2 linked regions of the Sus scrofa genome follow. The protein of the gene in region 1 purifies or fractionates together with the protein of each later gene. This does not show direct contact. Links are inferred from orthologs where the notes say so. Each region holds a gene or a part of one and is shown on either strand. Other genes may lie near its edges.

The links.
Region 2: the proteins of HAUS5 (region 1) and HAUS2 purify together in Homo sapiens (affinity purification with mass spectrometry; 5 studies listed by BioGRID and IntAct, with this or other methods). This does not show direct contact. The link is inferred for Sus scrofa from reciprocal best matches to the Homo sapiens genes HAUS5 and HAUS2.

The regions. Positions count from the first base shown.
Region 1 is NC_010448.4:45,056,304-45,060,825, forward strand, and holds the start of HAUS5 (HAUS augmin-like complex subunit 5), read left to right. Parts: upstream 1-1,497; 5' UTR 1,498-1,563; coding exon 1,564-1,661; intron 1,662-2,405; coding exon 2,406-2,468; intron 2,469-2,560; coding exon 2,561-2,593; intron 2,594-2,726; coding exon 2,727-2,751; intron 2,752-3,277; coding exon 3,278-3,383; intron 3,384-3,462; coding exon 3,463-3,622; intron 3,623-4,522. Other genes in the region: ATP4A (potassium-transporting ATPase alpha chain 1), read right to left, coding at 1,375-1,383.
Region 2 is NC_010443.5:128,836,033-128,840,511, reverse strand, and holds the start of HAUS2 (HAUS augmin-like complex subunit 2), read left to right. Parts: upstream 1-1,484; 5' UTR 1,485-1,498; coding exon 1,499-1,591; intron 1,592-4,479. Other genes in the region: LRRC57 (leucine-rich repeat-containing protein 57), read right to left, coding at 760-898, 996-1,079.

The sequences.
Region 1 (4,522 bases):
TTGGAGGGGAAATTGCTGGTAGTTATCTCTTATTTGGCTTTAATTTTGTATTTGAAACATACAGAATCCTTTTATATTTATATATAATTATATAGCTTGGGTCAAGGTGCACCTGATTTACTGTCATTAGGTTATGATTATAGGTATTCATTAAACAATGTTCCAGCTTTCGGCCAGTACTTTTGTTTTAATAGACTTTAATTTTGGTGAGCACTTTTACAGTTAGAGAAAATCACACAAAAAAATTAAATTCCCATTGACATCCCCTCCCTCCACACACATTTCCCCCTATTATTACCATCTTGCAGGAGTATGGTACTTCTGCTACACTTGTCGAATTAGTCCCTGGCAGCCTCTTTTGCATCTCAGCCCTTATGAAGCATTTGAAGACAAACTCAGCTTTTCCCCCAAATTTTCTACTTTAATGGTGACCTCAGAGTCCCCTTGTCCCTGGACCAGAGACTCCAAAGACCCTTGGATGTCCCCTTGACTCTTCACACCCATAGAGTCTCATATGTCATTAGCATCTCCCCCAAAGCTGATCCTTCTCTCATCTCTCCATTTCAAAGTCTGTTCCATTTTGAACCTAGAGACCTGGACATCACCCTGGATGCCCCCCCTATTGCCAGTCAACCTCACATGACCCACCTGCTCAGCCTGACAGTGGTCCAAGCACTGTCCTCACCCCCATCCTCTACTCATCCTGTTCCATCCTCCTCCCTGGGTTCTCAGCTTTAGTTTCTCCGCACTGTCTTTCTCCCCACGTGTTTATTCAACAAGAACAGAATGATGAACGAGGCAAGCATATTGAATGAAAGGTCCCTGAATGTTACCATTTCTCAGAGCCATGTCTAAGGCTGAGTGGGCTCTCCAGGACTCCAGCCTTAGTATCCAATGCTTTCTGGGACACTCCACAGACCTTTCACACTCCTTGTGTCCCAGATTGACCCACCCCTGCTGCTTATGATCTACCATCCCTACCTGGTGATGCGTCTATATCCCTCACTGAACTGTGAGCTCCGTAGCATGGAGACTGGGGCTGTCTCAGCCACCGGAGCATCCCCAGCACAGGGTCAGCTCACGAATGTTACGGAATGGTAAGGACGAACGAATACCTAAAAGAAAGCATGCCAGGGAGACATTAGGGTCATGCAATCTGCCTTCCATCCCTCACTCGAACCTGGGACACCCTGTTGTGGAAATCAAAGAGCATTAAGTTTGACATCTCTTCGCCTGATTCTCATCCTCCTAGGATTAAAGTCCCATTTTGTCAAGAAAATGAAGGGAGGTATTAGGGACCTTTTGCGTCTTAGGGAACAGCTAGCGGTAGGAATGAGGACGCAGAAAGCAAACGGCCCCATCGTTTCTCCACACCTCTTTCATCCTTACTCAAACGAACCAAGCCGGGAGGCGTGAGCGATGTCGGTGGGCTCTGAGACCCTGCAGGGCGGGAAAGCCCCTGCTTGCCTGGCGACCGATAGCGTCACTTCCGGCGCACTCGTGACGTCAGAGGCGACCGCCACACTTGAATACGAGGCAGGAGGCGGCGGCCGAGGCGCTGTCATGGAGTTAGCGCAGGAAGCGCGGGAATTGGGTCGTTGGGCGGCGGAAGAAATGGAGGCGCCCGTGGCGGCCCGGGCCCCGGAGTCGACGCTGCGCAGGTGAGGGCCGCTGTGGAAGCGAGAACTCCCCACCCTGAAGATAGAGTCTCTGGGAGCGAGAACCACATCTTGGTCGAAGACGTGCCGCCCCCCTCCTCCCCTCTGCCCCAGTGAGATAACCCTTGAGGGTAACCCCGACCCCCCAGGCAGAGGATCCTGAATTGAGTGAGGACGTTCTGGCGGTGATGCCCACACTCCCACCCTCATCCAGTGAGGCCGCCCAGAGAGGTACCTTGCACCCGTGGGGACCCTCCATGAGTTAATAATAATGAAGCCCCCCTTCTCGTGTGGAAATTGGATCTCCAGGGCGGGGCTGTCCCTGCAGCACTTCGTCACCCCACCCTAGTCCAGGCAGTGAGGACACTGGAGTCAGCAAAGACCACTCCACTAGGAAATTGAATCTTTTAGGAGTGATGACGCACGTATAGTAATGAGAGAGCCCTTCCTGACATTATAGCCCTCACCCCCACCTCTAGAAGTAACTGGAGATGACCCTTTCCCAGGAGAAGGGGAGCAACCCACCAGGGAATGCAAATCCCCCTACACCCAGTGAGAAGTCCACCCTCTTAGTAACTGAGAATTTCCCAGGAGGGAATAGCTTACCCTGGAAAGTGTGGACCTTCCCTGCCCCCACAGGTGAGCATTCCCTAGAAAGCGACCCCCCCCTCCCGCGCGCGCACAGTGCTATGAATGAGGATCTTCCACCCTGTGTGATGTCCCAGGCACACATTGCTGTTCCCACAGGCTGTGTCTGGGCCAGGGGGCTGACATCTGGGCCTACGTCTTGAGGCATGTGCACAGCCAGAGGTGAGCCTGGCTGCATGAGGGAACCTGTGGCAGGGGAGGGGACCCAGGTGAGTCCCCCAGTAACTCCCCTCCCTCCTACCTCTCCACTGTAGGAGTGTCAAGAAGATCCGGGGAAACCTGCTCTGGTAACTGGTCCTCAAAGCTGCCCCTTCCTGTCTTCCCCAGTCCTATCCAGCCGTGTCCTCACCCATAGCCTCACATCTCCCGTCTCCCCCTCAAAGTCCTTATCATTCTCTAACTCTGGCCTCATTTCCTCAGGTATGGCCTCCAGGACAGTCCAGAGGTGAGAAGCATGTGCTGCAAGAATTTTATTTCATCCAAAAAGAGGACTTGTAGGCTTTCTGCTCTAGGCCCAGCCTTGTGTGGATGATGCTAGGGACACTGTCACAAGACAGCCCTGATCCCAGTGCTCACAGGGAGAAGACATGAGCTGGGGGTGGGGAGTCATAGATATGAGTCAGCAAAGCTGGTGTGGGAGATGGGAGAAAGGACTAGTTTGAGAGAGATGCTGAGGCCAGTACGGGACCCAGCATGTGCCTGGTGCCCAGGAGACCTCAGGACTCCCACATGTAGGGCTCGACACGAGATGAGGACTGAGACAGAGACAGGAAGCAGGTTGGGAGAGTAGATGAGGTAATCCCAAGAGGAAGGAGGGGAACAGGATAGTACTCTGGTGCTCTCCTGGGCCTGGAGGTCCAGGCTCAGAAACTGCCTAGAGAAAACCCTCAGCCAGTCACCTGGGCATATAGACCGGTGTTCTACAAAAGGCAGCCAAGCCATGCATCTGACCCTATACCTGATTCCACCAGGCCCGCCGGAAGTTGGAGCTGGAAGCCGCTGTTGCCCGCCTGCAGGCAGAGATCCTGGAATTAGACCAGAGCCTGGAGCTGATGGAGCGAGAGACTGAAGCTCAGGGTGACCCGTGGGGCTAGATAGATGGGCAGCAGAACGGGGTTAGGGAAAGTGCTAATGTCCACCTCTGTTCCTCTCACAGACATGGCCATGGAGCAGGCTGTACAGAGGATGCAAGACACCCAGCGTCGTGCTCTCCTCCTCCGGGCCCAAGCTGGGGTCATACGAAGACAGCAGCGTGTGCTCCAAGATCCGACACAGCGGCTGCAGAATCAGCTCAAGCGCTTGCAGGACATTGAGAGGTGGGCCTCAGGTGCCGGGGACCAGCACTCACCAGGCTCAGCAGACATTCTTGGAGACCCAGTGCTCTGTCCTGACCCCTCCAGTTCTGAGTTCCACTCCTTAGGATTTAATGTCCATGAGGCCAGGAGGTTTTGTCATCTCAACCACCTGTATTTCCAGTGCCTAGAACGGTGCTAGTTGTATATCTGGAACACATGCTAGGGGGAAAAAGGAATAAACAAGGGTCAGTCCTGCCCTTATGGAGGTCATGCTGTGATACAGAGGAGCAAACTGTAAACTAGGAAGCAGACTATAATCACAGGTAGAAATAAGTGCTCTGAAGAAGAGGTGATATGATGGAAAAGGAGAAGGAGATTCTACTCTAAGTAGGATGGTCAGAGAAGGCCTCTCTGAGGAGATAACATTTGAGTTGGGAGGAGAATTTCCGTGGGGAGGGACACCTGAGCTTGCCATTTGGTAGAACAGCTGACAGGCCAGTTCAGCTTAGGCATGAGGGGAGGCATGAGGAGGCAGGTCGCAGAGTTGGACAGAGTGCCATGGAGACACTGGGATTTTACTCAGGCTGGGTTCAGGCCCAGGCTCAGCCCCTTAGAGCTGCGGGACCTTGGGCAAAGTATTTAACTTTGTGCCTCAGTTTCTAAGTTCTGTAGAATGGGGATATTAGAAGAGTTCCTGATACCTATTGTTGTTTTTCTGTGTGATGGGAACACATCACATTGTTTTCAAGGATTTCCAGTAAAAGTGACATCATCTGTCTGAGGTTCTAACAGGATCATTGACTGCTGAGTGGAGAACAGACTGCAGGGGCAAGAGCCGGGAGACCAGTGAGGAGGTTAATGCAGTCATCCAGCCAGGAGATGGCAGTGGCCTAATTTGGGGGTTGGCCCCAGAGATCCAGG
Region 2 (4,479 bases), on another chromosome or scaffold:
GTAGCGGAAATGAATCCTACTAGGAAACCTTGAGGTTACAGGTTTGATCTCTGGCCCCTCTCAGCGGGTTAAGGATCTGGCGTTGTTGTGAGCTGTGGTATAGGTTGCAGACGTGGCTCAGATCTGGCATTGCTGTGGCTCTGGCGTAGGCCAGCAGCAACAGTTCCAATTAGACCCCTAGCCCAGGAACCTCCATATGCCGCCGGTGTGGCCCTAAAAGGACAAAAGACCAAAAAAAAAAAAAAAAAATGCGGGAAAGCATTATGTGTATAATGGGCTCCTTTTGTGAAGGGGCCACTGCACAATCCCACAGCAGTTTTGTGGGATTTGGAACACCCTCCCCTTTCCATCCCATCTGCCCTTCCAAATCAGTAGCAAAATTAGCCCTGCCTACATTACCTCCCAAAGACAGTCCCTTTCAAATCCAAATTAACCCCATCCCCAACAATACAATACCAGAGGAGGCTTATAAATATAATTACAACAGATAGAAAGCTTCAAGGACTCAGACATTCTCCCTAGTCTTGAGCTCCTGAACTGTTTCATAACAACAATCAGCTTGTTAGGAAAAAACCACCCTTTTTTTCCCTTAAGATTCTGATATATTTATTTGAAAACTAGTTTTATAACATTATAATCACACTCCACACTATATTCCAAGAGAAAAACCACCCTCTTTAACACCTTATCACTAGCAAAAGCTTCCCCAGGAGCAAACCTCCCCAGGCGCAAAAGCCTCCCCAGGCGCAAAAGCCGTACTCAGTCTGTTGTTGTTCAAGGAGAGGCTCTTCAGTAGAGTGAACTTCCCTATAATCATAGGCGGTAGACTCTCGATCTTGTTGCTGGACAAGTCGATGGTCCTGAGATTGCTTGTCAGCTTCTGCAACTCTGAGGGGAACTGATGAAAGGGGTTCACAGCGCAGAGAATCCTTTAACTTCCCCGCCCGCCGTCCCTCTCCCTTTAAATTCCCTGGTCCGAGTCCTTCCAGTCTCACCTCGGTCAGCCCACGATCCTTAAGCTGAAAGACACCAGTTTTCTGCGCGGTTTCCACATGAGCACGGAGGGCACTGTTTCCCATCCTAGCGCCACTGCTCAGGTCCCTGTGGGAAGGAAGCGCAGCTGTCACCGCTCGGTCCAGGCACCCAGCCACCCGGTTGGCCTCCCGGCTGGGTCTGAAGCCTCAGCTGTCACCTCCTGCGGATCCCTGGATCTTGGGGGCCAGCCCAAGAGTGGCTGGGAAGAAAGAGCAGAACACCAGGCCCTGCCGATTTTGCAGCTCTTCCGAAACCAGCCGCCGCTAGGAGCCTAGGGAGGATCCGGAATCCCGGAACTCGCCTCCTACCCCTCAGCTCACAGCCGGCTGGGTGGAGAAAGAACCAGGACCCGCGCTCGCAGGGGATGAGTTCCCCGCCCGGGAGGAAACACCCTGTGACGTCATCGAGCCGCGCCGAGCGTTCCACTCACTCTCCGCGCCACCCGGGAAGGTGTTGCCCAGCCATGGCTGCCGCTAGCCCCTGGGACCTGGCCTCCGCGCCAAACGCTGCCGGGCTACTGCTGGGCCATTTCGTAGCTTCAGGGTTGGTCACTCAGGTGCGTGGGGGCTATGGCGTCATTAAGGGGGTGCCCAAAGTGGTGACAGAAGATGGCTGTGAGGTGGTGGTGGTGGTGTTGGCTGCGGGAGTGGGTGTGAGGGTTAGCTGGAGGCTGTGCTAGGTTCGAGGCAAGTGGAGCTCCTTGCGGGCGGCAGAAGTGTCTAGTCCGCTGTGGGTTCTGCAAAATCTTGATTCTGAGAAGGTGTTTCAAGTGTCTGGCGAGTGAGTTACTCCAGATCATTTCATGGGCGATAATAAAGATTAGTGTTCCCCGCTTTTTTTCATTCAGTGATACCGCCTGTAGATTGTAATGGGTGGCGGGGTTGGGAAGTACGGGTGGGTGCTAAAACATAAATCTCCAAATAACGCTCGTTTGTGTGAAATATTGAGGCATTACGGGAGACGCTGGATACAGGAGAGCGGCAAGGGAGGCATGCATCTTTAAAGGCCAGGGGAAAAAAATATTGGCGAAGAAGACCCATAAAACCTTGGAACCTGAATGAAGGAAGGTGTTAATTTTGAGAAGAGAAGAGGGAGACTAGCTCAAGGGGGTGGTAGTTTTAGATTCGGCAAGGAAGCGCATGTTCGCAGGTCAAAGGGAAAGAGCCAATGGAGGGAGAAATTGAAGATGTGAGGGAGTAATGAAATAGAAATAGCAGATGTGACAAGGGAATGGGGAAAGTGGGGTTAAGAGAAGAGAAAGAAATTTTGAGGTAATGAAGAAGTTGAGAAATTTCACTAAAAAAGGAAACTGAGAAAAATAGGTAAAACCATCTGCAGAGATTAGCGGTATACACATGATGGAAGATTTGTGGGAAATATGCAAGTCTTTATACCCAGAAGAGTCATTAGAGAATTCTATTATCTGCTTAGAGTAATTTTAAGATGCAAAAACAAAAACCTAAGGAGACCAAGAAACATGTCCAAGTCACTCAACTAGCGAAGTAGTTAGATCCCGATGCTCTCCCTTTTCTGACACATCATATCATCTCTAGGATGACTTGTGACACTGTCTTGAAAGAGTTTAAACTGTTGAAGAACTTGAAGACCTAGTAACAAGACTTTTTATGGATTTTGGGGAAAATGAGTGGAAGTAAGGAATGCATTGGAAAGTAGACAAAACATAACCACAGCACTCCATAGTTCTCACCTTCCTCACTTCTCTCCTGTGTTTTCTTTCTGCCACGTTGCATAATGCTCTCACTAGTGTTGTCTAGTTCTGTACCAAAGTAATTTGCAAAGTTCATGCTACAAGATTTGGGATTTATCCCTTTAGAACGTACTGGTGGGAGATAAAAACACCTAAACCAAAGGAGTAAGTCTCTGGTGAGAGAATTGGGCTGCTGTTAGTGTCCCTCAAGTAACACTGATTAGACAGTTACCTCTTTTGCCTACAGGTAATATCTGCCAATCCATGGCTCCTTAAGCCCATCTTACAATGTTATTTATTGCACAGCTAGACCCAGTGAGGAAACTTTTGTAGATTTGTAGCATGATTTTACTTTAAGCAAACTTTACATATAAAACCTACTTTTATTACAAGGATTTATCATTGATCTTTTCAAAATGAGCTATTATATGACTGCTTTAAACAGTGTATTCCTTAAGTGCACATCATCCATGTGCATTAAAAATTAAGAGTGATGCTTAAAATTGATATGATACAACTCTTATAGAATATATAGCTTGTGTAAGTTTTTTGTTGTTGTTGTTTTGATCTATTCACTGGAGAATGATTTAGTGAAAGAATTTCTAGGGATAATATGGGATACTATTTTGCCTTATGTCCTAGGACTGCTTCAGAGGCCTTACATCCTAGATGTTATTCTGGCAAGCTTGAGTCACAGTGCCTTGATCAAAGTCCCCTCTACTGGCAGTGCATAGGATAAGGATCTGGACCTAACAAAAAACCCCTCAGGATCTCTTCTTTTTTTCCCTTTTTCTTTTTTTTGGCTGCACCCCTGGCATGTGACAGCGCAGGGACTGAACCTGTACCACAACAGCGCCCAAGCCATTGCAGTGACAACATTGGATCCTTAACCCGCTGTGCCATAAGAGAACTCCTATTTCCTAATAGAAAGAATACTACCCTCCCCACACATACATATATCATCTATTTTCTCAGTCTGTGCACTGATCTTCTCTGCACCCACCCCCATTTTAAGGTCTCTCTGCTATACTACTTCTCTTTAAAAAAAAAAAAAAATTGAGAGTTCCCATCACGCAGCAGAAACAAATCCAATCAGGAAACATGAGGTTGTGGGTCCAATCCCTGGCCTCGCTCAGTGGGTTAAGGATCTGGTGTTGTGTGAGCTATGGTATAGGTCACAGATTTGGCTTGGATCTTGTGTGGCATAGGCTATGGCATAGGCTGGCAGCTGTTGCTTCGATTCGACCTCTAGCCTGGGAACCTCCATATGCGGCAGGTGCGGCCCTAAAAAGCCAAAAAAAAAAAAAAAAAAAATTGGTCACACCTGTGACAGATGGAAATTTTCTGGCCAGGAGTTGAACCCAAGCTGCAGCTGCAACCTACACCACAGTTTCAGTAATGCCGGACCCTTTAACCACTGGACCAGGGATCAAACCCTCACCTCCACAGCAACCAAGCCACTCCAGTTGGATTCTTAACCCACTCACCACAGCAGAAGCTCCTATACTGCCTCTCCCTTTTGTTTTTTAACTTATTTTTTTGTCTTTATTTATTTTTTGCCTTTTGAGGGCCGCATCTGTGGCATATGGAGGTTCCCAGGCTAGGGGTCTAATCAGAGCTCTAGCCACTAGCCTATGCCACAGCATAGCAATGCCAGATCTGAGCCTCATCTGCCATCTACACCACAGCTGATGGCAATGCCAGATCCTTAACCCACTGAATGAGGCCAGGGATTG